Anolis sagrei: one gene and its partners. The protein of the gene in region 3 purifies or fractionates together with the protein of the main gene of each other region. This does not show direct contact. Links are inferred from orthologs where the notes say so. Each region holds a gene or a part of one and is shown on either strand. Other genes may lie near its edges.

The links.
Region 1: the proteins of BTRC (region 3) and HNRNPD purify together in Homo sapiens (affinity purification with mass spectrometry; 3 studies listed by BioGRID, with this or other methods). This does not show direct contact. The link is inferred for Anolis sagrei from reciprocal best matches to the Homo sapiens genes BTRC and HNRNPD.
Region 2: the proteins of BTRC (region 3) and GLI1 purify together in Homo sapiens (affinity purification with western blotting; 3 studies listed by BioGRID). This does not show direct contact. The link is inferred for Anolis sagrei from reciprocal best matches to the Homo sapiens genes BTRC and GLI1.
Region 4: the proteins of BTRC (region 3) and FOXN2 purify together in Homo sapiens (affinity purification with mass spectrometry; 3 studies listed by BioGRID and IntAct, counting the BioPlex papers as one, with this or other methods). This does not show direct contact. The link is inferred for Anolis sagrei from reciprocal best matches to the Homo sapiens genes BTRC and FOXN2.

What each region holds. Positions count from the first base shown.
Region 1 is NC_090025.1:17,071,937-17,079,959, forward strand, and holds the start of HNRNPD (heterogeneous nuclear ribonucleoprotein D0), read right to left. Parts: upstream 3,066-8,023; 5' UTR 2,852-3,065; coding exon 2,652-2,851; intron 1-2,651. UniProt on the Homo sapiens protein: Binds with high affinity to RNA molecules that contain AU-rich elements (AREs) found within the 3'-UTR of many proto-oncogenes and cytokine mRNAs.
Region 2 is NC_090022.1:185,741,212-185,748,905, reverse strand, and holds the start of GLI1 (zinc finger protein GLI1), read right to left. Parts: upstream 3,064-7,694; 5' UTR 2,251-3,063; intron 1-2,250. UniProt on the Homo sapiens protein: Acts as a transcriptional activator. Binds to the DNA consensus sequence 5'-GACCACCCA-3'. Regulates the transcription of specific genes during normal development.
Region 3 is NC_090023.1:216,207,961-216,214,919, reverse strand, and holds the start of BTRC (F-box/WD repeat-containing protein 1A), read right to left. Parts: upstream 3,056-6,959; 5' UTR 2,942-3,055; coding exon 2,894-2,941; intron 2,815-2,893; exon of another isoform or gene 2,738-2,814; intron 1-2,737. UniProt on the Homo sapiens protein: Substrate recognition component of a SCF (SKP1-CUL1-F-box protein) E3 ubiquitin-protein ligase complex which mediates the ubiquitination and subsequent proteasomal degradation of target proteins. Recognizes and binds to phosphorylated target proteins.
Region 4 is NC_090021.1:20,799,846-20,806,959, forward strand, and holds the start of FOXN2 (forkhead box protein N2), read right to left. Parts: upstream 3,142-7,114; 5' UTR 2,947-3,141; intron 1-2,946. UniProt on the Homo sapiens protein: Binds to the purine-rich region in HTLV-I LTR.

The DNA of each region.
Region 1 (8,023 bases), on a different chromosome or scaffold from region 3:
TATTACAGCATGAGGAAGAACTTGGGACAGTGGAATATGCTGCTGCCTCTGGGCAGGTGGTGAATTTTTCTTCTCTAGGTACACTATTACATGCATACATACACACATACACACACACATATATGCACACACATTGAAGTATTAAGGGAAACCTAACCTAAAATAAAACTGTAACACTATTGGGGGATGGGGGAGGGGATGTAAAATCAATAGACACAAGTGGGAGATAAAGGTGGATTAGGCATGGGTAAGAACACTAAGAAAATGATATTTTATATGTATTCTGAAATGGTGATAAATTGTGATATTTTTCTACCTGCATGCAATAAAAAAAGTATTTTTAAAAAACTGTAACATTATTATATATGTATTTTATTTTTTTACTTTAAGTATTACAGTATGAATAATTTCCAACAATGGAATTAGTAATTAAAATATTAAGGCAAACTGAACTTACGGTAAAACTGCAACACTGTTATACATGTTTGTTTTTTTTACTTAAAAGTATTACAGTTTTGGGAAGAAATTGGGACAGTGGAATATGCTGCTGCCTGGGCGGGTGGTGAAATCTCCTTGCCTTGATATTCTATCTCATAGATAGATAGATAGATAAATACAAACTTAATTGAAATATTAAGGCAAACTTAACCTACAATAAAACTGTAACACTATTTTATATATATTTACGACATTTATATGCCACCCTTCTCACCCGGAAGGGGACTCAGAACGGCTTACAAGATATATATTTATACAATATATTATATTATTAGCATAGTACAATATCAGTATTAAATATTACTATGTTGTACTATACCATTATATTGTAATATTAGTAGCATTACATGTAATATAAATATATAATTATAGTATCATATAACTATTAGTATTATATTTCATTACATTATATTATAAATATATCTATATATAAGGTATTATATTACATTATATAATATTGTTAGTAATATTAAATTTAATATAAATATATAAATATAATACCATATTACTATTAGTATTATATTGCATTACATTATATTATAAATATTATATGTATATACAATATATTAATTATATAATATTGTCAGTAATATTAAATTTAATATAAATATACTATTATAATATCATATTACTATTAGTCTTATATTGCATTACAATATATTATAAATATTATAGGTATATACAAGATATATTAATTATATAATATTGTTAGTAATATTATATTACATTATTAGCATAGTACAATATCAGTATTAAATATTACTACATTGTACTATACCATTATATTGTAATATTACAATATAATTATATTGTAATATAAATATAATTTTATTATATATTACTATTGGTATTATATTGCATTACATTATTATATTAAAAATATATGTATATACATTACATTATTAACATAGTACAATATCAGTATAACATCTTACTATATTGTACTATACCATTATATTGTAGTATTAGTAATATTACATGTAATATAAATAAAATTTTATTATATATTACTATTAGTATTATATTGCATTACATTATAATATAAATATATGCATATACAATATATTATTTATTTATTTATTATTTACGACATTTATATGCTGCCCTTCTCATCCCGAAGGGGACTTAGAGCGGCTTACAAGGTATATATACATACAATATATTATTAACATAGTACAATATCAGTTTTAAATATTGCTATATTGCACTATATCAATTATACTGTAATATGATTAGTAATATCACATGTAATATAAATTTATAATTATGATATATTACTATGAGTATTATATTGCATTACATTATGTTATAAATATTATATGTATATACAATATATTATATTACATTATATAATATTAGTAAAAATTTACATTGTATATAAAATTACATGTATATACAATACATTATATTACATTACATATATATTATTTTATTAGCATGGTACAATATCAGTATTTTAATTTTTTACTTCGAGTATTACAGTCTGAGGAAGACCTGTGGGGGGAGGGGCCTCTCTCTCTCTCTCTCTGGGAGTTTTCAAAGCAGAAACTGGATGGCCATCTGTCGGGGGGGGGGGGGGGCTTTGATTGAGACTTTCTGCATGGCGGAAGGGAATGGGGAAGGGGGACTCAAAAATTTATTATTTGCTTTTAAGTTTATTGTGTATTATGTATGTTGTGTTGTTGGCGGCCTTGGACTTTGTGAGCCGCATCGAGTCCTTCGGGAGATTTTGCGGGGTATAAATAATGTTAATAATAATAATAATAATAATAATAATAATGGCCATCTGTCGGGGGGGGGGCTTTGATTGTGACTTCCTGCATGGCGGAAGGGAATGGGGAAGCGGGGGGAGGGGTGGGGCCTCTCTCTCTCTGGGAGTTTTCAAAGCAGAAACTGGATGGCCATCTGTCGGGGGGGCTTTGATTGTGACTTCCTGCATGGCGGAAGAGAATGGGGAAGCGGGGGGAGGGGTGGGGCCTCTCTCTCTCTGGGAGTTTTCAAAGCAGAAACTGGATAGCCATCTGTCGGGGGGGCTTTGATTGTGACTTCCTGCATGGCGGAAGGGAATGGGGGGAGGGGGACACACAGCACACACCACACACGCGTCGCGCACCCCCGTTTCCCAGGCCCGGTTCGGTTCGGTTGAAACATACCCAACGTACCCTTCATCCTCCTCATTCTTGCTGGCGTCGATTTTGGCGCCTTCGGATTCGCCGCCGCCCCCTCCGCCGCCGCCGCCTTCCGCGCCGTCCTCTTCGTCGTTCCCTCCGACCGCGACTCCCTCCAGCTGCTCAGCCTCCTCGTCAAAGGCCTCGGCAGCGCCTGCGTCGCCCATGAAGTCTTGGTCCGACATGTTGGGAGTTGAGGAGAAAGCGGGAGTCGGCAAAACGGGGAGGAAAGCCGGCTCAAACTGAAGCAGCCTCGCTCTCCTCTCTTTCTCTTCCTTTCTTTCTCTCTCTCACGCCTTCTCTCTTTCTCTCTCTGTCTCTCTCTTGCGCTTTAATGGCGCCGCCTCGCTGATCCCAACCTAAAATGGCGGACGGAAGGAATGCGGCGGCGGTGGTGGTGGCGTCGCGGTCACGTGCCCGGCGCCCTACTTACTGTCCCTCTCCCGCTCGCTGATTGGAGAACAAGGGAAAGCGCGCCCTGACGCGGTCTCCGATTGGTCGGGGGGAAGCGCGCGCTGGCCCGCTCCCTGATTGGCTAAGAGAAAGCGCGCCCTGACCCGCTCTCTGATTGGCCGAGGGGAAGAAACGGGGAGCAAGGAAAGATGACGCCTGTCTCGCGTGTTGGCCAAACATGGCGGCTTTCCCACTGATTTCTTGTGGGTTTTTTCGGGCTATATGGCCATGTTCTAGAGGCATTTCTCCTGACGTTTCGCCTGCATCTATGGCAGGCATCCTCAGAGGGTGAGGTCTGGAGCTGGGAAAAAAGGGGGGTTTATATATCTGTGGAAAGACCAGGGTGAGACAAAAGGCTACTGTAAGATGGGCTAGGTGTGAATCTTTTCAATTGACCACCTTGATTAGCATACAATGGGCTGACTGTGCCTGGAGCAAACTCTTAATGAAAGGTGATTAGATGTCCCTGCCTGTTTTTCTCTCTGCTGTTTTAATTTTAGAATTTTTTAATACTGGTAGCCAGACTTTGTTCATTTTCATGGTTTCTTCCTTTCTGTTGAAATTGTCCACATGTTTGTGGATTTCAATGGCTTCTCTGTGTAGCCTGACATGGTGGTTGTGAGAGTGGTCCAGCATTTTTGTGTTCTCAAATAGAATGCTGTGTCCAGGTTGGTTCATCAGGTGCTCTGCTATGGCTGATTTCTCTGGTTGGAGTAGTCTGCAGTGCCTTTCATGTTCCTTGATGCGTGTCTGGGCGCTGCGTTTGGTGGTCCCTATGTAGACTTGTCCACAGCTGCATGGTACACGGTAGACTCCTGCAGAGGTGAGAGGATCCCTCTTGTCCTTTGCTGAACGTAGCATTTGTTGAATTTTCTTGGTGGGTTTGTAGATTGTTTGTATGTTGTGTTTCCTCATCAGCTTCCCTATCCGGTCAGTGGTTCCCTTGATGTATGGCAGGGACACTTTTCCTCTGGGTGGATCTTCATCTTTATTCTTGTGGCTTGTTCTTGGTCTTGCAGCTCTTCTGATGTCTGAGGTGGAGTATCCATTGGCCTGTAGAGCCCAGTTGAGGTGGTTCAGTTCACCTTGGAGGAGGTGGGGTTCACAGATTCTTTTTGCACGGTCTGCCAAGGCTTTGATGGTGCTTCTTTTTTGACTTGGGTGATGGTTGGAGTTTTTATGTAGATATCTGTCTGTGTGTGTGGGTTTTCTGTAGACGGTGTGACCCAATTGTTGATCTGGTTTGCGGATGACTAGGACATCTAGAAAAGGCAGTCTTCCTTCCTTTTCTATTTCCATAGTGAACTGGATGTTAGGGTGGATGCTGTTAAGATGTTCCAGGAACCTGTTGAGTTCTTCTTCTCCATGGCTCCAAATGGTGAAAGTGTCATCCACATATCTGAACCATATAGTGGGCTTTTTGGTTGCTGTTTCAAGAGCTTGTTTTTCAAATTGTTCCATGTAGAAGTTAGCTATGACTGGGCTGAGAGGGCTCCCCATAGCTACTCCATCTTTCTGTTCGTAGAATTCATTGTCCCACTGAAAATAGCTGGTGGTGAGGCAATGGTGAAACAGCGCCGTGATGTCTTCTGGGAACCTCTGGAAATGTATTGTCGAAGCCTTCGACAATACATTTCCCACTGATTCTAGGCAAGGCCTGGGCCAACTTGGGCCCTCCCTCCAGGCTCTTTGGACTTCAACTCCCACAATTCATAGAATCAAAGAGTTGGAAGAAACCTCATGGGCCATCCAGTCCAACCCCATTCCGCCAAGAAGCAGGAATGTTGCATTCAAATCACCCCTGACAGATGGCCATCCAGCCTCTATTTAAAAGCTTCCAAAGAAGGAGCCTCCACCACACTCTGGGGCAGAGAGTTCCACTGCTGAACGGTTCTCACAGTCAGGAAGTTCTTCCTCGTGTTCAGATGGAATATCCTTTCTTGTAGTTTGAAGCCATTGTTCCGCGTCCTAGTCTCCAAGGAAGCAGAAAACAAGCTTGCTCCCTCCTCCTCCTCCCTGTGGCTTTCTCTCACATATTTATACATTCCTAATAGCCATAGTTTTAACTCCAAAACATGTGGAGGGCCCATGTTGGCCCAGGCATGGGCTAGAAACTATGGGGTTTTTTGTTTTTGTTTTTGTTTTTTTGTCGTGCCAGGAGCGACCTGAGAAACTGCAGGTCGCTTCTGGTGTGAGAGAATTGGCCATCTGCAAGGACATTGTCCAGGGGACGCCCGGATGATTTTTTGATGGGTTGTTGTAGGTTTTTCCGGGCTGTATGGCCATGTTCTAGATGCATTTTCTCCTCTTATATGGCCATGTTTTAGAGGCATTTTCTCCTCTTATATGGCCATGTTCTAGAGGCATTTTCTCCTCTTATATGGCCATGTTCTAGAGGCATTTTCTCCTCTTATATGGCCATGTTCTAGAGGCATTTTCTCCTCTTATATGGCCATGTTCTAGAGGCATTTTCTCCTCTTATATGGCCATGTTCTAGAGGCATTTTCTCCTCTTATATGGCCATGTTCTAGAGGCATTTTCTCCTCTTATATGGCCATGTTCTAGAGGCATTTTCTCTTATATGGCCATGTTCTAGAGGCATTTCTCCTCATATGGCCATGTTCTAGAGGCATTTCTCCTCTTATATGGCCATGTTCTAGAGGCATTTCTCCTCTTATGGCCATGTTCTAGAGGCATTTTTTGATGTTTTATCATCCTTGTGGCCGAAAGCGAGGAGGAGCTGAGGAGCCTTCTAATCAAGGTGAAAGAAGAAAGCACAAAAGCGGGGTTGCAGCTAAACATAAAAAAAAACCAAGATTATGGCAACAAGAATGATTGACAACAGGAAAATAGAGGGAGAAAATGTGGAGGCCGTGACAGACTTTGTATTTCTAGGCGCAAAGATTACTGCAGGTGCAGACTGTGGCCAGGAAATCAGAAGACGCTTACTTCTTGGGAGGAGAGCAGTGTCCACTCTCGATAAAATAGTAAAGAGTAGAGACATCAGACTGGCAACAAAGATCCGCCTAGTCAAAGCCATGGTATTCCCTGTAGTCACCTACAGATGTGAGAGCTGGACCTTATGGAAGGCTGAGCGAAGGAAGATCGATGCTTTTGAGCTGTGGTGTTGGAGGAAAGTGCTGAGAGTGCCTTGGACTGCGAGAAGATCCAACCAGTCCATCCTCCAGGAAATAAAGCCCGACTGCTCACTGGAGGGAAGGAGACTAGAGACAAAGTTGAAGTACTTTGGCCACATCATGAGGAGACAGCAAAGCCTAGAGAAGACAATTATGCTGGGGAAAGTGGAAGGCGAAAGGAAGAGGGGCCGACCAAGGACAAGATGGATGGATGGCATCCTTGAAGTGACTGGACTGACCTTGAAGGAGCTGGAGGTGGTGACGGCCGACAGGGAGCTCTGACGTGGGCTGGTCCATGAGGTCACGAAGAGTCGGAGACGACTGAACGAATGAACAACAAAAACATCCTTGTGGGAGGCTTCTCTCATATCCTCGCATGAGGAGCTAGAGCTGATAGCTCATCCGCCTCTCCCTGGATTCGAACCTGCAACCTGCCAACACAGGGGTTTAACCCACTGCGCTCCTATGATGAAAGACTGTTGGTGTCTCAGCAAAATATACCAAGCATCCCGAGCTCTGAGGATTACCAGGGAAGGAATCCCACTGGAGCATTGCAGCACACCAAAATATCTGGGAGTCACTCTGGACCGTGGATCCCCCGGTGGCGCAATTGGTTAAACCCCTGTGCCGGCAGGACTGAAGATCGACAGGTCACAGATTCGAATCCGGGGAGAGGCGGATGAGTCCCTTCTATCAGCTCCAGCTCCTCATGTGGGGACATGAGAGAAGCCTCCCACAAGGATGGTAAAATATCAAATCATCAGAGTGTTCCCTGGGCAACGTCCTTGCAGACGGCCAATTCTCTCACACCAGAAGCAACTTGCAGTTTCTCAGGTTGCTCCTGACACGAAAAAAAAAAACCTGTGGACCGTGCTCTGACCTACAAGAAGCACTGCCTGAATATCAAGCAAAAAGTGGGTGCTAGAAATAATATCATACGAAAGCTGACTGGCACAACCTGGGGATCACAACCAGACACAGTGAAAACATCTGCCCTTGTGCTATGCTACTCTGCTGCTGAGTATGCATGCCCAGTGTGGAACACATCTCACCACACTAAAACAGTAGGTGTGTCTCTTAATGAGACATGCCGCATTATCACGGGATCTCTGCGCCCTACACTACTGGAGAAATTATACTGCTTAGCCAGCATTGCACCACCTGACATCTGCCGGGAAGTAGCAGCCAATAGTGAAAGGACCAAGGCAGAGACATCTCCAGCTCATCCCTTATTTGGGTATCAGCCAGCACATCAACGACTTAAATCAAGAAATGGTTTTCTAAGATCTACAGAGACACTCGCTGGAACACCTCAGCAAGCAAGAGTCCAAAACTGGCAGTCTCAAACCCAACACCTCAACCAATGGCTGATATCAAATGAGAGACTCCCCCCTGAGCACACAGAGGACTGGGTGACTTGGAAGGCGCTGAACAGACTGCGCTCTGGCACCATGAGATGCAGAGCCAACCGCAAGAAATGGGGCCACAAAGTGGAATCCACAACATGCGAGTGTGGAGAAGAGCCAGATACTGGTCAAAGGACATTTAATTAACTACCAAGCTTGCAAACTTTGTGTTTTGTTTGTTTGTTTGTTTGTTAAAAAATGCAATACAATTGTTCGGTCACGATAAATAAATAAGCAAACTATACAACCCAGGATTCTATTAACACAGAGTCTAAAAGTGGCAGCCCGTATAGTCAGGAAGTTCTTTCTAATGTTCAAGTGGAATCTCCTTTCCTATAATTTGAACCCATTGCTCAGAGTC
Region 2 (7,694 bases), on a different chromosome or scaffold from region 3:
TTGTTAGTGGAGTTTATTGACATCCCTACCCCAGTTTTAATGGGATCAGAACTGTTTCTATGATTTTGCAGAACAGGATTGATGGAGACTTCTTTTGGGTGGTTGAATCAAAATCTGACAGAAAGAAAAGATGTGAGAGGGGTGCGGAGAGCAATCTGGCAATGTCCGTTCTCTGTTGGGTCTGGCCAACAATCAAAATTCTGAAAGTGTAGAAACTTGCTTGGAATCAGAAAGTTTACCACCCTCAAAAGTTTGCTTTTGAGGCCGGGTTTCAAGACAGGAGCTCACCAACTTCTTCCTGGACAAGATGTGTTTTCAGCCCCATCTACACTATCATATATGACCCAAATTATCTCCTTTGACCTGGATTATATGGCAGTGTAGACTCAGGGCCCTTTTATACTGCCATATAATCCAGATTATCAAATCAGACGATGCACATTTTTGGCTTTGAACTGGATTATGGGAGTCTGCACTGCCACATAATTCAGTTCAAAGCAAATCATCTGGATTTTATACGGCAGTGTAGAAGGGACCTCATAGAATCCACTTCAACAGAGATGATGTGGATGATCTGCTTTGATAACCTGGGCCCCATCCACACATCTGAATAAAATACCACATTATCTGTTTTGAACTGGGATATATGGAAGTGTGGATTCTGGGCCTTCCAAACAACCCTATACCCCAGAATATCAAGACAGAAAATCCCACATTATCTGAGTGTGGACTCAGATAACCCAGTTCAAAGCAGATATTGTGAGATTTCCTGCCTTGATATTATGGGATATAGGGCTGTGTGGAAGGGCCCTTCGATAACCCAGTTCAAAGCAGATATTGTGGGATTTTCTGCCTTGATATTATGAGATATAGGAATTTGTAGAAGGGCCCTGAGTCCACACTCAGACAATGTGGGATTTCCTGCCTTGATATTCTGGGATATAGTGCAGTGTGGAAGGGCCCTTCGATAACCCACTTCAAAGCAGATATTGTGGGATTTCCCACCTTGATATTATGGGATATAGGGCTGTGTGGAAGGGCCCTCAGATATTCCAATTCAAAACAGATATTGTGAGATTTTCTGCCTTGATATTATGGGATATAAGGCTGTGTCAAAGGGCCCTGAGTCTACACTCAGATATTGTGGAATTTCCTGCCTTGATATTCTGGGATATAGTGTTGTGTGGAAGAGCCCTCAGATATTCCAATTCAAAGCAGATATTGTGGGATTTCCTGCCTTGATATTCTGGGATATAGGGCTATGTGGAAGGGTCCTCAGATAACCCAGTTCAAAGCAGATATTGTGGGATTTTCTGCTATAGGGCTGTTCAAAGCAGATATTGTGGGATTTTTTGCTACAGGGCTGTGTGGATAGGTCCTGAGTCTACACTCAGATATTGTGGAATTTCCTGCCTTGATATTCTGGGATATAGTGTTGTGTGGAAGGGCCCTCAGATATTCCAATTCAAGGCAGATATTGTCGGATTTCCTGCCTTGATATTCTGGGATATAGGGCTATGTGGAAGGGTTCTCAGATAACCCAGTTCAAAGCAGATATTGTGGGATTTTTTGCTACAGGGCTGTGTGGATAGGTTCTGCGTCTACACTCAGATATTGTGGAATTTCCTGCCTTGATATTCTGGATTATATGGCTGTGTGGAAGGGCCCCTGGACTATATGGTAGTATAGATCCAGCCTTCAAAAATCCTTTTGGGGCCCTTCCACACAGCCATATAACCCAGAATGTCAAGGCAGACAATCCCATAATATCTGCTTTGAACTGGGTTGTCTGAGTCCACACTGCCATATATTCCAGTTCAAAGCAGATACTGTTGGGTTCTATTCAGCTGTCTGGAAGGGGCCTCAGCCATATAACCCAGAATATCAAAGCAGAGAATCCACAGGGACAGGATTATGTGAGTCCACACTGCCATACAATTCAGTCCAATGTGGATTTTATACAGCTGTGTGGAAGAGGCCTTTGAAGAAAGTTGAGACAAATCCGACAAACTTTGTAGCAGTTCAGGAAAGAAAGAAAAAAAACCCCATAACATTCCCATTCCTTTCCCAATTCCCACCCACGCTGCTTGCTTTTTTGCTCATGTCAGAAAAAAACAAAAACTCAGGAGTGTTGGAAAGGCAAAACCTGCCAGTTGCCAAAAACAAAACAAATAAGGTCCATCTCCCCAAACCAATGGGAGATACACACAAATAGACACAGAACTGGGCTTTGAAGAAGAAAGAGCTTACCTTTCAAAGCCTGGATGGGGATTGTTGGGGAGTCATGATGATCCCAAGCACAGCTCTTGGGCTTCTCGAGATGGGCAGTTTCCCTCTCTCTTCGGATTGGTTTCCCCTAGGCTAGCAACATCCAGGGTGGGCTACTGAGTGTCGCCCGCAAACAACAACAACAAAACCCCATCAGGAAAGAAGAAGAGATGAGGGAGAAGGGGGGTGGCTTCTTTCACCAGATCCCCCAAATTTTCCACATTGTGGCTTTGCCTTCTTTTTGTAGAGGAAAGAAAAGGGAGGCAGAAAATCCCACCGACGCTGATTAATATATATATTGCTCCCCTTCTTCTTCTTTTTCTCCGAGATTCAAATCAAACCAACTTCATCCCAGGAGCAGGCGCGATGATCAATGTGCGAGCCTCCCGTCTGGAGCCCGAGAGAAGGACCACCTTGAAGCAGGAAGTTTTGGTTTGCTTTCCAAACTTTCCCGATGCTTTGCTTGAGCTTTGGCACATGGAGCCAATCAGCCCGCTCCGCCTGGGCGGCCGGCTGGGGAAAGGAGGGCTGGGCGCAGCAGCAGCAGAGAGATGGGCCAGGAGGGGATGGGATCCCCTCTTTCTCCCCCAAATCTCTCCCCCCAACACTCCCCTTTAGGGCTTTCAGGCTGCTCAGGAAGAAGAGGAGGAAGAGGGTGGTGCTTTCTTTCTTTTTTTCTTTTTTTTTCAGGGAAAGTTTTCAAGATTTCTTTCTTTTTTGTTGTTGTTGAGAAGGTGGGATCTTTAGCAGCAGGAGGAGGGTAAGCTGAGCCCTGTGTGAGGTTGGAGATGAAGGAGCCCCTCTCAGCCTCAGTTCTCACAGCATGCTGCCTCCCAAGCCTCTGAAGCAGCTTGGAAAATCCGGGCTGGAGTTTGGGGGCCCTTCCACACAGCCCTATAACCCAAGATATCAAGGCTGAAAATCCCACAATATCTGCTTTGAACTGGATTATCTGAGGCCCCTTCCACACAGTCATATAACCCAGGATATTAAGGCAGAAAATCTCACAATATCTGAGCATGGACTCTACCCAGGGCCCTTCCACACAGCCCTGTATCCCAGGATATCAAGGCAGAAAAGCCCACATTATCTGCTTTGAAGTGGGTTATCTGAGGGGCCTTCCACACAGCCATATAACGCAGGATATTAAGGCAGATAATCCCACAATATATGAGTGTGGATTCAGATAACCCAGGGCCCTTCCATACAGCCCTATATCCCAGAATATCAAGGCAGAAAATCCCACAATATCTGAGTGTGGACTCGGGGCACTTCGACACAGCCCTATATCCCATAATATCAGGGCATAAAATCTCACAATATCTGTTTTGAACTCGGTTATCGAAGGGCCCTTCTACACTGCCCTATATCCCAGAATATCAAGGCAGAAAATCCCACAGAATCTGAGTGTAGACTTAGGGTCCTTCTACACAGCCCTATATCCCAGGATATCAAGGCAAAAAATCCCACAATATCTGAGTATGGACTCAGATAACCCAGGGCCCTTCCACACAGCCCTATATCCCATAATACCAAGGCAGAAAAGCACACAATATTTGTTTGAACTGGGTTATCTGGAGGCCCTTCCACACAGCCCTATATCCCAAAATATTAAGGCAGAAAATCCCACATTCTCTGAGTGTGGATTCACATAACCCAGGGCCCTTCCACACAGCCCTATAACCCACAATATCACAGTAGAAAATCCCACATTGTCGGAGTCGGGATTCAGATAACCCAAGGCCTTCTGCACAGCCCTATATCCCAGAATATCAAGGCAGAAAATCACACATTATCAGAGTCTGGACTCAGATAACCCAGGGCCCTTCCACACAGCCCTATAATCCAGAATATCAAGTCAGAAAACCCACAATATCTGCTTTGAACTGGATTTTCTGTGGGCCCTTCACACAGCCATACAACTCAGGATATCAAGGCAGAAAAGCCCACAATATCTGAGTGTGGACTTAGATAACCCAGGGCCCTTCCACACAGCCCTATATCCCATAATATCAAGGCAGAAAAGCCCACAATATTTGCTTTGAACTGGGTTATCTGAGGGCCCTTCCACACAGCCCTATATCCCAAAATATTAAGGTAGAAAATCCCACATTCTCTGAGTGTGGATTCACATAACCCTGGGCCCTTCAACACAGCACTATATCCCAGAATATCGAGGCTGGAAATTTCGTATTATCTGAGTGTGGACTCAGGGCCCTTCCACAAATACCTATATCTCATAATATCAAGGCAGAAAATCCCACAATATGTGTTTTCAACTGGGTTATTGAGGGGCCCTTCCACACAGCCCTGTATCCCAAAATATCGAGGCAGAAAATCCCAACAATATCTTCTTTGAACTGGGTTATCTGAGTCCACACTCAAATAATGTGGGATTTTCTGCCTTGGTATTCTGGGATATAGGGCTGTATGGAAGGGCCCTGGGTTATGTGAATCTACACTCAGAGAATGTGGGATTTTCTGCCTTGATATTCTGGGATATTGGACTGTGTGGAAAGGCCCTCAGATAACCCAGTTCAAGGCAGATATTGTGGGATTTTCTGCCTTGATATTCTGGGATATAGGGCTGTGTGGAAGGGCCCTGAGTCCACTGCCATATATACCAGATACTAGGCCTGGGCGGTTTCGTTTCGTTAATTCGTAATTCGTTAATAATTCGTTAATTTTTTCAATTACAAAACGATAACGAACCATTCTGGAGCAATTTTTTAAAAAAACGAATTTTTAAACACGTTTTGCAAATGCTTCGTATTTCGTTATTGTATTCGTTTCGTTATTGTTCTGAGGTCGTTTTGTTATTATTTCCGCATGTCTGGGCCAGTTTTATGGTTTAATTAGTGAAAAAAAATTATAATATCACACCAACAGTCAACAACAGAGGGAGAGGGAAGCTTCAGAAGTTTTTGGAGGTTTTTTAGCGTATTTCGCGGTCGCGTCCGCCATTAACGAATCGATTCGTTATTGTTTCGGAAATCGATTCGTTAATGTTTTGTAATTTTTTTCACATTTACGAAATTTCGTAAATATCGAACTTTTTTAAAGGAAAATTTTGTAATTATTTTAAATAACGAAACGCAAAAACCCCCAAAAAACGAATCGATTTTAGAAACAAATTTTTCCGTTGTTACCCAGGCCTACCAGATACTGTTGGAGTCTATTCAGCTGTGTTGAAGGGGTCAGAGAGGCGTCCTTCACCATCATGGCACATAGTAATAGCTAGCTACGGTGGCCACTTCCATGTGGTTGCAGAGGGCAAGTTGTCAGCACAGTGTTTGGGCAATGCAGCATGCATTCAGGGCTTTCATAGAATCATAGAATCATTGAGTTGGAAGAGACCTCGTGGGCCATCCAGTCCAACCCCCTGCCAAGAAGCAGGAAAATCACATTCAAAGCAGCCCCGACAGATGGCTATCCAGCCTCTTCTTAACAGACTCCAAAGAAGGAGCCTCCACCACACTCTGGGGCAGAGAGTTCCACTGCTGAACAGCTCTCACTGTTAGAAAGTTCTTCCTCATGTTCAGGTGGCATCTCCTTTCCTGTAGTTTGAACACCTCACAGGAATAGGCTTTGGAGGTACTGTTCTGTAGGGGCTCCTGTCCTTCTGAGAGGGTCATTCCCAGAAGGTGTTGTTGGGGGACACCTGCTCGGGGTCCTGCAGGGCTCAATACTGTCTCCCAGGTTGTTTAACATCTATATGAAGCCCTTGGGAGAGATCATCCGGAGTTTTGGAGTTCGATGCCATCTGTATGCAGATGACATTCAACTCTATTACTCCTTTCCACCTGCTAATAAGTAGGTTCTGTTCAGGTTTTGAACCGGTGCTTGGCAGCTGTGTCAGCCTGGATGGGAGCAAACAAATTGAAATTGAATCCAGACAAGACAGAGGTATTCCTGGTCAGTCACAAAGCCAAGCATGGTATAGGGTACAGTCTGTGTTCGATGGGGTTACACTCCCCCTGAAGGTGCAGGTTTGCAGCTTGGGAGTCCTGGACTCATTGCTGAGCCTGGAATCTCAGGTTTCAGCAGTGGCCAGGGAAGCATTCACACAATTAAAACTTGTGCGCCAGTTGCGCCTGTATTTTGGCAAGTCAGACTTGGCCATGGTAGACCATGCTCTGTTTACAACCCATATAGATTAATTCAACATGCTCTACATAGGATTGCCCTTGAAGACTGTTTGGAAGCTTCAAATAGTCCAATGGGCGGCAGCCAGAGTGCTTACCAGAGCAGACTCCCCTGTTGCGTCAGCTCCACTAACTGTCGGTCTGCTACCAAGCACAATTCAAAGTGCTGGTTTTAGCCTATAAAGCCCTAAATGGTTCCGGCCCAGCTTACCTGTCCTAACAGATCTCCTCATATGAACCATCTCAGAGTTTAAGATCCGGGGAGGCCCTGGTCTCGGTCCCACTTCCTTCGCAGGTGCAACTGGTGGGGGCAAGAGACAGGGCCTTCTCAGTGATGGCCCCTCAGCTGTGGAATTCCCTCTGAAGGAATATTAGATCAACCCCCTCCCTCCTAACCTTCAGTGAGAGAGTAAAAACGTGGTTCTTTGATCAAGCCTTTGGAGAAACCGTGCAATAAACAGATATAGAATTATGTGCAAGGACATCTCGGATTACGATTATGGATAGCGTACTTTAAAAATTGTGATATTGACTTAAATGTTTTAAAAGTTTTAATGTATTTTATAATTCTACTAGCCTTTCCCTGCCATGCATTGCTGTGGCCCAGTCTACTACTACTACTACTTGAAAGTAAAGTAATGAGAAAGTGTTGGTTTCTAATATATGTAATTTCTTTATACTTGTGAGTACACAGTATTTCTTGTTGTTTCTTTGTCAGTGTTGATGTAGAGGTTGTCTGGTTTGGCTACTCTGGAACATGCAGCATATAATTGTCCTTTGAGGGTCCCTTTCAAATCTATGATACTATATCTGTCATATACATGTTTGTGTGTGTGTGTGGATCATATCTATCTATCTATCTATCTATTAGGCCTGGGTAACAACGGAAAAATTTGTTTCTAAAATCGATTCGTTTTTTGGGGGTTTTTGCGTTTCAATATTTAAAAGAATTCCGAAATTTTTCTTTTAAAAAGTTCGATATTTACGAAATTTCGTAAATGTTTAAAAAATTACGAAACATTAACGAAACAAATACGAAACATTAACGAATCGATTCGTTAATGGCGGACGCGACCGCGCAATACGCTAAACAACCTCCAAATGGGACAGGGGGAACTTCTGAAGCTTCCCTCTCCCTCTGTTGTTGACTGTTGGTGTGATATTATAATTTTTTTCACTAATTAAACAAAAAACAACTATAAAACTTGCCACAGACATGCGGAAATAATAACGAAACGACCTCAAACCGATAACGAATCAAATACAATAACGAATCCAAAG
Region 3 (6,959 bases):
CCTTGTGCTGACAGGAGTGCTGACTGACATGTTGGCGGTTCGAATCCGGGGAGAGCAGGTGGCGCTCCCTCTGTCAGCTCCAGCTCCCAATGCAGAAATATGAGAGAAGCCTCCCACAAGAATGCTAAAACATCAAACATCCGGGCATCCCCTGGGCAACGTCCTTGCAGATGACCAATTATCTCACACCAGAAGCAACTTACAGTTTCTCAAGTCACTCCTGACACACACACACACACATGGTTTTCCTTCAGTATATTTCCAATATTTGGACTTCTTTCCTCTCCTCTACCAAAACACAATAAAGCCCCATCATTCTAGTTCATTTTTTAATTTTTAAGAATGACCCAAGATGTCATTAATCTTGTTATTAGCCTGAGTGTATTAAGCTTATTTTAGAAAACCATCCACTTAAAAAAAATTAAAAACACACCAGCGTCTTTCATACTCTTTGGCTTTCCATTATTATCACCATAGGCTATTAGTCACGGTGGCAGTAGAGTCCTGGCGGTGGGTCCATAATGGGGTATAGTATGAGGCCTATTTTTAATGGTAACTCTCACGTAACCAAAAAGTACTTTGATGTGACATCTACAAATCCCTGAGAGTCTACTATACCAAGTATTGCGAAATCCCATCAGCTAACCCATCACCCCCTTTTGTTAGACCTTGAACATTTTTACTTCAACCTAGTTTAGTTTTTAAAATAATATGACCCAAGATTTCATTAACCTGATGTATTAGCCTAGGCCCTTTCCACACCTCTGAATAAAATCCCACATTATCTGCTCTGAACTGGGTTATATGGCAGTAGTTCAAAACAGTTACTGTGGGATTTTCTGCCTTGATTCTCTGGGGCCCCTTTCACACATCTGCATAAAATCCACATTATCTGCTTTGAACTAGGTTGATGAACAGGTTTACATTCTCACACTATTGCTTAGCCTCAACGTTTTATCATTGGAGTATATGCCCCCCCCCTTTGTGAAAAAGCCTGATTCCACAACCCCCACTATGAGTCCTCCTCCGCAAATAATCTGACTCTCTCTTATCTCGCCTGAGTTTTAATTAGTTTTAATCAGTCTCTCTTTTAATCATTATATGTAGCCCGCCCTTTGTCATTGTGATTGTGCCTATTGTAATTTTATATTGCTATATTTTCATATGTTTTATGTAATTATGTTGTTTGTTGTTTATTGTTTGCGTTTTCGGTTTTATTTTATTGTAATTTTCTGTTTGGGGTTGGCCTCATGTAAGCCGCTCCGAGTCCCCAATGGGGAGATGGTGGCGGGGTATAAATAAAGTTTATTATTATATGGCAGTGTAGACTCAGATAACCCAGTTCAAAGCGGTTATTGTGGGATTTTCTGCCTTGATATTCTAGGGCCCCTTCCACACAGCTGCATAAAATCCCACATTATCTGCTTTGAACTGGGTTATATGGCAATGTGAACTCAGATAACCCAGTTCAAAGCAGTTATTGTGGATTATCTCCCTTGATATTCTATTTTATATGCCTGTGTGGAATGGCCCTGGGTGTATTAACCTTGTTTTAGAACAAATACAGCCCTCCACTTAAAAAACAACAACCATAAAAACCATCACCTGCATAATTCATACTGTCACCAAGAACCCTCTTATGTTTTATGTAATTATGTTGTTTGTTGTTTATTGTTTGCGTTTTCGGTTTTATTTTATTGTAATTTTCTGTTTGGGGTTGGCCTCATGTAAGCCGCTCCGAGTCCCCATTGGGGAGATGGTGGCGGGGTATAAATAAAGATTATTATTATTATTATTATTATTATATGGCAGTGTGGACTCAGATAACCCAGTTCAAAGCAGTTATTGCGGGATTTTCTGCCTTGATATTCTGGGGCCCCTTCCACACAGCTGCATAAAATCCCACATTATTTGCTTTGAAAGGGGTTATATCGCAGTGTGGACTTATTGCGAGATTTTCTGCCTTGATATTCTAGGGCCCCTTCCACACAGCTGCATAAAATCCCACATTATCTGCTTTGAACTGGGTTATATGGCAGTGTGGACTCAGATAACCCAGTTCAAAGAAGTTATTTTGGATTATCTGCCTTGATAATCTATTTTATACTAGCCGTCCCTGCCACGAATTTCTGTGGTACAGTTGGTGTATATGTTTTGTGTGTGTATAAATATGCATATTTGTGTATATGTGTATATATGTGGTTTTGCACATGCGTTGTAATGTATTGGGGGGGGGGCTTTTTAAGTCTCTTCCACTGTGTTTTTCAGTGTTTTTATGAGTGATGGTCATTTGTTGACCTGATAGTTGTATTGTGTCCAAATTTGGTGTCAATTCATCCAGTAGCTTTTGAGTTACATGAATCCCACAAACGAACATTACATTTTTATTTATATAGATGGCTGTGTGGAAGGGCCCTGGCTTAGAACAAATACAGCCCTCCACTTAAAAACAAACAAAGATAAACCCATCACCTGCATCATTCAAAGTCTGTCACCAAGAACCCTCTTCAAAGCCAAAGGAATGCTAAATCCCATCAGCTGCTGCATCATTCCCTCTTCTCAGGCCTTGACTACTTTTCCTTCACTAGCTTCCCAATCGTTGTCCTTCTTCCTCCTCCAACCAGCCACTGATACCACAAAGCCTCCATCATTGCAGTTTAGAGCCTTGTTGTTGAATTTAAAAAACACATATTAAAGATTCTTGGAAACAGGTAGGGAAGAGCTATGGCGGGCTTACCCCCCTTCCTTCTCCTCCAGCCACTACCTCATTTCGCAGGTACCCCGGGTTGCCAGGGAAACCTCTCAGCCCGTATCGCCTCCCTCCTCCTCCTCTTCTTCTTCGCCATTCACTTCCTCCCTCCGCCACAAACCCTCCCTCTCTCTTCCTCCTCACCATGAACTTGAGGGCCTTCTCCTGCACCACCGCCTCGGCCGGGTCCATCGCCCCTCTCCTCTGCCGCTGCTCCCCCGCCAGCTCCGGGCCTGAGGCCTGGGCCTAGGCCGCCCCCGCTCTCCCTCCCTTTCCCTCAGTGCAAGGCCGCAGACAGCGCAGCGGCAAACAGGAAGCCCCTGCTTTCCTCCCGCTCGGCTCACTGGGAAATGTAGTCCCAGGCCCGTTTACCGAGCAGATTCCGGCACCGCTATTGGACTACACTTCCCAACAAGCCCTGCGACAGGGGATACGCTGAGCAGGCCGCCTCTTGGAGGAGGAGAGAATAGGCGCTGAGGGAAGTGAGAGCGTGTGCTCGCAAGGGCTGATGGGAGCTGTAGTTCTGACTTGAGCCTCGACCTCTAATAGGGACTTGTAAACTCTGTCACAAAACAGAGGGAGAAAATGTGGAGGCTGTGTCAGAGTTTGTATTTCTAGGTGCAAAGATTACAGCAGATGCAGACTGTGGCCAGGAAATCAGAAGACGCTTACTTCTTGGAAGGAGAGCAATGACCAATCAGGATAAAATAGTGAAGAGTAGAGACATCAGACTGGCAACAAAGATCCGCCTAGTCAAAGCCATGGTATTCCCTGTAGTCACCTACGGATGTGAGAGCTGGACCTTAGGGAAGGCTGAGCGAAGGAAGATCGATGCTTTTGAGCTGTGGTGTTGGAGGAAAGTGCTGAGAGTGCCTTGGACTGCGAGAAGATCCAACCAGCCCATCCTCCAGGAAATAAAGCCCGACTGCTCATTGGAGGGAAGGATACTAGAGACAAAGTTGAAGTACTTTGGCCACATCATGAGGAGACAGCAAAGCCTGGAGAAGACAATTATGCTGGGGAAAGTGGAAGGCAAAAGGAAGAGGGGCCGACCAAGGGCAAGATGGATGGATGGCATCCTTGAAGTGACTGGACTGACCTTGAAGGAGCTGCGGGTGGTGATGGCCGACAGGGAGCTCTGGCGTGGGCTTGTCCATGAGGTCACGAAGAGTCGGAGACGACTGAACGAATGAACAAGAACAACAAAACTCTGTCACGATTTGCTCCTTTCAATGCTTCCCAAACTTTAATCCTCTAGGTGTTTAGACTTCAACTCCCAGAAGCCTCGGCTGCCTTGGCCAATGGTCAGAGATTCTGGGAGCTGAAATCCCAAACTCATTGGGCCCTTCCACACAGCCCAATATCCTACCTAGAACATCGAGGCAGAAAATCCCAGAATATCTGCTTTGAACTGGGTTATCTGAGTCCACACTCAGGTCATGTGGGTTTTCCTACCTTAATATTCTGGGCTAGAGGGCTGTGTGGAAGGGCCCTTAGAGGACTTTGGCTTTATTTATATATTTATTTATTTACAGTATTTATATATATTAAATAAATATGGCAGTGTGGACTCAAATAATCTAGATGAAAACAGATATTGTGAGGGTTTTTTTTTTTTTTTGCCTTGATATTCTGGGGCCTCTTCCACACAGCTGAATAAAATCCCACATTTTCTGCTTTGAACTGGAATATATGGCAGTGTGGGATCAGAACCCTTACAGACAGCCATACAACCCAGAATATAAAGGCAGGAAATCTCACAATATCTGCTTTGAACTGGAATATATGGCGGCGTGGGCTCAAATAACCCAGTTCAAAGCAGATAATGTGGGATTTAATTTTTTTTGCCTTGATATTCTGGGTTATATGGAAGGGCCCTGTGTTTGGGAAACAATCTACAGCAGTGATTCCCAAACTTTGTACAGATTTTGAGGCTTCATATCCCAAATTTCCTGACTAAGCGCCCTTCCAGATAGGCCCTATATGCCAGTATCTGATCCGAGGTTTTCTGCTTTAAACTGGATTATATGACTCCCCACTGCCAGATAATCTGGGAAAAACATAAAACCTGGGATCAGGTCCTGGGATATAGGGCCTGTCTGGAAGGGCTTTAAGGCTTAAGGGAGCTGAAGTCCCAAACTACTGCATGACTCACGTTTGGTAACCATGGAACTACAGTGCAGTTTGACACCACTTTAGCTGCCTTGGCTCAATGTATGGAATAATGGGAGTTGTAGCTTTACAAGAGCTGTATGTGGCCTCCTTGGTGCCTCTCTATGATTCCATAGCATTGAGCCATGACTGTTACAATGGTGCCAAACTGCATTAATTCTACAATATAGACCAGACATGGGCAAACTTTGGCCCTCCCGGGATTTTGGATTCCAACTCCCAGAAATCCCAGCTAGTTAGGAATTGTGGGAGTTGAAATCCAAAACACCTGGAGGGACAAACTTTGCTCATGCTTGGTATGGACGCACCCTAAGTCCTTGTTTTAGATGTACTTGTAATTTAAATTTTAGTAGTGGAGAATATGACAGCAAAGAATGAGAAGAAAGTCATGTTAACCAAACGACAGAAAGAAGGAAAGAGTGCCAACAGCCAAAATAACCACAGCTGATTATAAGTGAATGTAAGCATCCACATTTCGTACCTTGTTTCATGTAGCAGGTGTCTTTGGAGAGCATAGGGACAAATGTGAGGGCAACCACGTACTCATTGGTTGGTCTTAGGCAGGCTACTTATCTTTCTTATAGACTCACCCCACTTGCCAAATCATAATAAAATGGGCATGTTATAAAAGCCCCCCCCTCCATAATGAACAAGATAGCCTCTCATTAAATGATGTTGCTTCCAAAATCATTACAATCTGTCTCTCTTAAATTATTATCAGTTCACTTTGATATCTTCAAAATGTATTATTTCTTTAATTCCAGGACTCATAACTTTTGTGAGCCTCGTAGCAGTACATCAGTTTTAGAAGATTAGTTGTTGGTTTATATTATCTTAACTGGATAAACTGAGAGGGATGTAGTAGTTAAAATAATTTACACAGTCATCTACTGCATCCTTCACATTCCTTCCATTCCCTACACAATGATGTTGTTGTGTTACCTGGCAAACATGAAGCCAAGATTTATGTGAATCCAACTGATTCAGGACTTGCAACTAGATGGAAGTCATCAAGTATATGAGAAATTCTGGCTATTCAATAATCATTATGGAAAGAGTATGTTTATAAGCTTTTCTTATTACTTAAACACAACAGCGTAACTTTACTGAGTGTTCTGCTTATCCAAAGTCCTCTTAAGAGTTTCAGGCCCCAGGTAGGAACACCTGCTGCTTCCCCAGAGGAATAGAATATCTACCATGTTATCTAGAAGCAGCTGTAACTGTCTGGTCAGGATGGATTAAGGTATGCTAGTGCTGAAATGATCACATGGAACATCTGTGGCAACAGCGAGTCCTCCTTGGATTAATCTAGGGATGCATCTGTAATGACAGGCAAACAGAAGAATGTGTGCTGTATAATGAGACATGAAAAATCCAAGATGTGTTCTGCGTTAAAAATAATAATTCCAAATACAGTAGACTTGCAGTTAACCAGAACCCAAGGAAACAACAACAAAATAGAATAATAATTCATTCCCAAACCTGTTTTTATAATACAGTAAAACTGTGTTGCATTGAGTTATATTTGTCTTTATTTGCTTTTAATTACGGCATTTCAATATTAATATGAAGTCAAGTGTATGCTATGGTACAGCTAGGCCTATTTTAAATACTTACGCTCAAGCAACCAGAAGTTACATTTATCCGCATCTAACAATCTCCATGGGTGCCAGTTAAATAAGCACTATATATGTATTCCCTTTCTTGCTTTTCCCTATATTTGTATTTAGGAAGCACCCCCCTCTACCCCCCTCCACACACACACACACGTAGATTGTGTATTTGGAAAACTTTGCTTTTCTGCTTACAGATTAAAAGGAAACTGAAAAGCTTATTTTTAATTTAAATTTTCTACCTTCAAGGACTTCTTCCTACCTCAACTCATCTGCCAAGGAATCCCCCTCCCAATACACACTGATTTTACTGCAGCAAATTCTCAGTTCATGTTGAAAACTTATTAGAGGATTTTTGTCATCTACTGTGAACTTGCACAACAAAATGCATTATGTGACATATTCAACACTCCCCAACAGTTTTG
Region 4 (7,114 bases), on a different chromosome or scaffold from region 3:
GGAGATCTTAGTCCAAAAGGGAACAGTTTGGGGATCCTATCAGACCTCTTTCCTCCCCCGTAAAGGGATCTATCCACTTACAACACCCCAAAAATGGATGGAAGGAACTCTAGGCAGGTCTCCAAGGAAGATTGGGGAAAGGGGAGACAAATTAGGAACCCCAAAATAGGCCCTAAAACTCAACCCAAACTCTTCCATCCACATGAAAGTGAGTCTGAGGTCTGAGTCCAAAGGGGAACAGTTTGGGGATCCTATCAGACCCCTTTCTCCCCTTTCAAAGGGATATACTCATTCCCAACACCCCAAAATTGTATGGCAGGCCTCCAAGGAAGATTGGGAAAAGGGGAGACAAATTAGGAACCCCAAAATAGCCCCTAAAACTCAACCCAAACTCTTCCATCCACATGAAAGTGAGTCTGAGGTCTGAGTCCAAAGGGGAACAGTTTGGGGATCCTATCAGGCCCCTTTCTCCCCTTTCAAAGGGATATACTCATTCCCAACTCCCCAAAATTGTACGGCAGGCCTCCATGGAAGATTGGAAAGGGGAGACAAATTAGGAACCTCCAAAATAGCCCCTAAAACTCAATCCAAACTCTTCCATCCACATGAAAGCATGAAAAAAGATACTGAAGATCTGAGTCCAAAAGGCAACTGTTTGGGGATCCTAATCAGACCCCCTTTCCCCCCCCTTAAAGGGATATATTCATTCCCAACACCCCAAAATTTGATGGGGAAAACTCTAGCCAGGCCTCCAAGAATGATTGGGAGAAGAGGAGACAAGTTATGAACCTCTAAATAGCCCCTAAAACTCAACCCAAACTCCACATGAAAGTGTGCAAAAAGATACTGAAGATCTGAGTCCAAAAGGCAACTGTTTAGGTATCCTAATTAGACCCCTTTCTCCCTCCCTTAAAGGGATGTATCCATTCCCAACACCCCAAAATTGGATGGCAGGCCTCCATGGAAGATTGGGAAAACGGGAGACAAATTAGGAACCCCTAAAAAAGCCCCCAAACACAACCCAAATTCTTCCACCCACATGAAAACGTGCAAAAAGATACTGTGAAGATCTGAGTCCAAAGGGGAACAGTTTGGGGGTCCTAATCAGACCCCTTTCTCCCCTTTAAAGGGATATTATTCATTCCCAGATACTGAAGATCTGAGTCTTAAAGGGGAACAGTTGGGGGGTCCCAATCAGACCCCTTAAAGAGATAGTATATTCATTCCCAACACCCCAATGTTTGATGGGGGAAACTCTAGGCAGGCCTCCAAGAATGATTGGGAAAAGGGGAGATAAATTAGGAGCCCCAAAATAGCCCCTAAAACTCAACCCAAACTCTCCCATCCACATGAAAGCGTGCAAAAAGATACTGAAGATCTGAGTCCAAATTGGAACAGTTTGGGGGTCCTAATCAGAGGCCACTCGATCTCAACAACAACAATAGTAAAATAATGATGATGGTGGCAGTGTATTTGTTGCCCACCTCTCCTCATGGCTTAAACCACACACAAATAAAACATATCACCATTAAAAGACATATATTAAAACAAAATATGTTAACACCAAATACTAACAGATGTAAAGTTAGGATCAGAAATGGCCTTCTGTCTATGGCACTACAATACACAACACTCGCTTATTTTAATAATTGTATGTTTAATTCTGTGTTTTATTTGTATGTGGCTTAAACCACATACAAATAAAACACAACATTAAAAGACATATATTAAAACAAAATATGTTAACCCCAAATACTAACACAATGTAAAGTTAGGATCAGAAATAACCTTCTGTCTATGGCACTGCCATCCACAAAACTCATTTATTTTAATAATTGTATGTTTAATTCTGTGTTTTATTTGTATGTGGCTTAAACCACATACAAATAAAGCACAACAACATTAAAAGACAGATATTAAAAGGCACAAAACAAAAAATTAAAAGGCACAAAACACCAAATACTAACACAATGTGAAGTTATTTCTGATCCTAACTTTACACAATGTAAAGTTTGGATCAGAAATAACCTTCTGTCTATGTCACTGCCATACACAAAACTCACTTAATTTTAATAACTGTATATTTAATTATGTGTTAATATTTCATTCCCTCTTCTTTCGCTCCAAATCCCATTCCCAAGCTTTCGCAAAGAGATACTCTCAAAATATTAACAATTATTCCCAATATCCTCTCCAATTATTATTATTATTATTATTATTATTATTCCAATATCCTCTCCAAATATTCACACACAACTATTCCCAATATCCTCTCCAAATATTATTATTATTATTATTCCAATATCCTCTCCAAATATTATTATTATTATTATTCCAATATCCTCTCCAAATATTCACAAACAACTGGTTTGGAATAGAAGAGACCCTTTTTTTCTGCCTTGGAAAATAAATACCAAATCCATGGCAGAGATAAAGCAATATATTTCCTCCAAAGTCCCCAGTTGCAAAACCATTTGTTCCTCCAACAATATCCAAGTGCATATATATGCATACTCAAAACCTGGCTTGATACAATGGAGAGCCACAAATGGCACAACCAACCCCCCCCCCCCCAAATTACACCCCCTTTATTTCTTTCTCTGACACACATTCAAACCCTCATCTATCCTAGATCTCCCAAAAAGACCTCTCCAAAAGGAAAGGCACCCCTCCAAATGGCACTCCATTGTGCACCATTGTGTAAAGGCACATGCTGCCTTCCAAAGTCACCATGCCACTGCTTTATTTCAACCCTACATGCCAAAGTGGAACTACACATCCCAAAAAAGGCTAAACATTATGAAATCTGAAATTGGGGATGGGGAGATAATGGGAATAGGAAGGAAAGGCATGCCCAGTTTGGAGGGAAAGGAGAGAATAGGATTTGGAGGTGTTTGGAGGGGGTTCTGCCCAAACCTCAAGAGGGAATCAAAGGTTGCAACTCACTGTCCTCATGAAGGGGGGAGAGTTGAGGAAGGGTCTCTCTCTCTCTCAATATGGCAGCAGCAGCAGCAGAGGCAGAGGCAGCAGAGAAGGGGAAATGTGTCACCGACCAGCAGCAGCTGCTCCTCTGGCTTGGCTGGCTGGCTGGCTGCTGCCGCCTCCTCTCCCCTCCTCGCCATCTCCCCATAGCAACAAGGCGCCCAACTCCTCCTCCTCCCTCCTCTCCCCACGCCCCCCTGACTTCTCCCACCCCTTTCCTCGCAATCAGGGCGGCCTCTCGCCTTGTTTCCCCTCCGGGAGGCGGGCGAGTCCATTCCTTGAGAAAGGGGGGGAAGGCTGGGGAAAGGGGACCAAAGCAGGCAGGATTGGCTGGAGCAACCAGGGCAGCATGGGTTTGTTTTGTGTGTGCAGGGAGGGAAAAAGAGGAAAGGGTTGGGGAAAGAGAAGGAGGAAATAGGAGTATGCCTCAGCTGATTTATTATTATTATGTTTATTATTATGTTTATTGTTGTGCTTGTATTTAATAGAATCATAGAATCAAAGAGTTGGAAGAGACCTCATGGGCCATCCAGTCCAACCCCATTCTGCCAAGAAGCAGGAATATTGCATTCAAATCACCCCTGACAGATGGCCATCCAGCCTCTGTTTAAAGGCTTCCAAAGAAGGAGCCTCCACCACACTCGGATGCAGAGAGTTCCACTGCTGAACGGCTCTCACAGTCAGGAAGTTTTCCTCAGGTTCAGATGGAATCTCCTCTCTTAGAATCATAGAATCAAAGAGTTGGAAGAGACCTCATGGGCCATCCAGTCCAAACCCATTCTGCCAAGAAGCAGGAATATTGCATTCAAATCACCCTGACAGATGGCCATCCAGCCTCTGCTTAAAAGCTTCCAAAGAAGGAGCCTCCACCACACTCCGGGGCAGAGAGTTCCACTGCTGAACGGCTCTCACAGTTAGGAAGTTCTTCCTCATGTTCAGATGGAATCTCCTCTCTTGTAGTTTGAAGCCATTGTTCTGCATCCTAGTCTCCAGGGAAGCAGAAAACAAGCTTGCTCCCTCCTCCCTGTGGCTTCCTCTCACATATTTATACATGGCTATCATATCTCCTCTCAGCCTTCTCTTCTTCAGGCTAAACATGCCCAGCTCCTTAAGCTGCTCCTCATAGGGCTTGTTCTCCAGACCTTTTATCATTTTAGTCACCTTCCTCTGGACACATTCCACCTTGTCAACATCTCTCTTGAATTGTGGTGCCCAGAATTGGACACAATATTCCAGATGTGGTCTAACCAAAGCAGAATAGAGGGGTAGCATCACTTCCTTAGATCTAGACACTATGCTCCTATTGATGCAGGCCAAAATCCCATTGGCTTTTTTTGCCGCCACATCACATTGTTGGCTCATGTTTAACTTGTTGTCCACGAGGACTCCAAGATCTTTTTCACACGTACTGCTCTCGAGCCAGACATTGTCCCCCATTCTGTATCTTTGCATTTTGTTTTTTCTGCCAAAGTGGAGTATCTTGCATTTGTCACTGTTGAACTTCATTTTGTTAATTTTGGTAATTATTATTATTACTATTATTATTATTATGTTTATTATTATGTTTATTGTTGTGGTTGTATCTATATATATATAAATGCTCTGTGCATAATGAGTACCTTAAAAATCAAAAGAAACAATGAACAAAATCACACCACATTTGGGAACAAAACATCTCACAACACAAGGAGTGACCATCACTCAAAAAATTATTATTTTGTCACTTGGGAATTGTAGCTGCTGGGATTTATAGTTCACCTACAATCAAAGAGCATTCTGAACTCCATCAACGATGGAATTGAATGATAAAATCATAGCGTTGGAGAAGATCTCATGGGCCATCCAGTCCAACCCCCTGCCTAGAAGCAGGAAAATCACATGCAAAGCACCCCCGACAGATGGCCATCCAGCCTCTGTTTAAAAGCTTCCAAAGAAGGAGCTTCCACCACACACAGAGCTCTCATGACCAACAGAAAATACTGGAAGGGTTTGGTGGGCATTGACCTTGAGTTTGGGAGTTGTTGTTCATTCGTTCAGTCGTCTCCGACTCTTCGTGACCTCATAGACCAGCCCACGCCAGAGCTCCCTGTCGGCCGTCACCACCCCCAGCTCCTTCAAGGTCAAGCCAGTCACTTCAAGGATGCCGTCCACCCATCTTGCCCTTGGTCGGCCCCTCTTCCTTTTGCCTTCCACTTTCCCCAGCATCATTGTCTTCTCTAGGCTTTGCTGTCTCCTCATGATGTTTATTTATTATTTATTTATTTCATATACTTCTACCCCGCCTTTCTCAACCCCCGAGGGGGGACTCAGGGCGGCTTACAAAAAGGCACATCTTGGTGCCTACACAAATACAATAACATATAGAACCAGCAATTAAATGGTCAACAATTAAAACAACAATATATCTCACAATCAATAGCCAATCTCAGACACAGCGTTCGCCAACTCAGAGTCCATATTTCGTTCCACCTTGTCCAATTCCTATCCGTCGTCACAGTCCTTTATTCATCTGCCAGATTGCCCAAACGCCTGGTCCCACATCCATGTTTTTAATTTCTTTCTGAAGGAAAGGAGGGATGTTGCTGATCTAATTTCCCCAGGGAGTGAATTCCATAGATGAGGGGCCATCACTGAGAAGGCCCTGCTCCTCATCCCCGCCAATCTCACTTATGACAAAGACGGGGCCGAGAGCAGGGCCTCCCCAGAGGATCTCAGACTCCGAGATGGGACGTAAAGGGAGATGTGTTCGGACAGATACGCTGGGCCGGAACCGTATAGGGTTTTGTAGGTCAAAACCAGCACTTTGAATTGTGCTCGGAACTGGATCGGCAGCCAGTGGAGCTGACATAACAGGGGGGTGGTATGCTCCCTGTATGACGCTCCGGTGAGCAGTCTGGCTGCCTCCCGCTGGACTAATTGAAGTTTCCGAACAGTCTTCGAAGGCAACCCCACGTAGAGTGCGTTGCAGTAATCTATCCGGGATGTAACAAGAGTGTGGACCACCGTGGCCAGATCCGACTTCCCAAGGTACGGGCGCAGCTGGCGCACAAGTTTTAATTGTGCAAAAGCTCTCCCGGCCACCGCCGAGACCTGGGGCCAAAGTACTTCAAGTTTGCCTCTAGTATCCTTCCCTCCAGTGAGCAGCCGGGCTTTATTTCCTGGAGGATGGACTGGTTGGATCTTCTCGCAGTCCAAGGCACTCTCAGAACTTTACTCCAGCACCACAGCTCAAAACCATCGATCTTCCTTCGCTCAGCCTTCCCTAAGGTCCAGCTCTCACATCCGTAGGTTACTACAGGGAATACCATGGCTTGGACTAGGCGGATCTTTGTTGCCAGTCTGATGTCTCTACTCTTTACTATTTTATCGAGACTGGACATTGCTCTCCTCCCAAGAAGTAAGCGTCTTCTGATTTCCTGGCCAGTCTGCATCTGCAGTAATCTTTGCACCTAGAAATACAAAGTCTGTCACGGCCTCCACATTTTCTCCCTCTATTTTCCAGTTGTCAATTATTCTTGTTGCCATAATCTTGGGTTTTTGACATTTAGCTGCAACCCAGCTTTTGCGCTTTCTTCTTTCACCTTGATTAGAAGGCAAGGCTCCTCAGCTCCTCCTCGCTTTCGGCCATCACAGTGGTGTCATCTGCATATCTGAGGTTGTTAATGTTTCTTCCAGCAATTTTCACCCCAGCTTTGCATTCATCAAGCCCCGCACATCGCATGATGTGTTCTGCATACAAGTTAAAAAGGTACACTGCATAAGGTACACTGTGCATAATGAGTACCTTAAAAACAAAAGAACCAATGAACGAAATCACACCAAATTTGGCAACAAAACGTCTCACAACGCAAGGAGTGACCATCACTCAAAAAATTATGATTTTGTCATTTGGGAGTTGTAGTTGCTGGGATTTATAGTTCACCTACAATCATTGTTGAACTCCATCAACAATGGAATTGAACCAAACTTGGCACACAGAACTCCCCTGACCAACAGAAAAAATTGGAAGGGTTTGGTGGGCATTGAGTTTGGGAGTTGTAGTTCACCTACATCCAGAGAGCACAATGATGGATCTGGACCAAACTTGGCACAAGCACTCAATACGCCCAAATGTGAACATTCCACAGATATA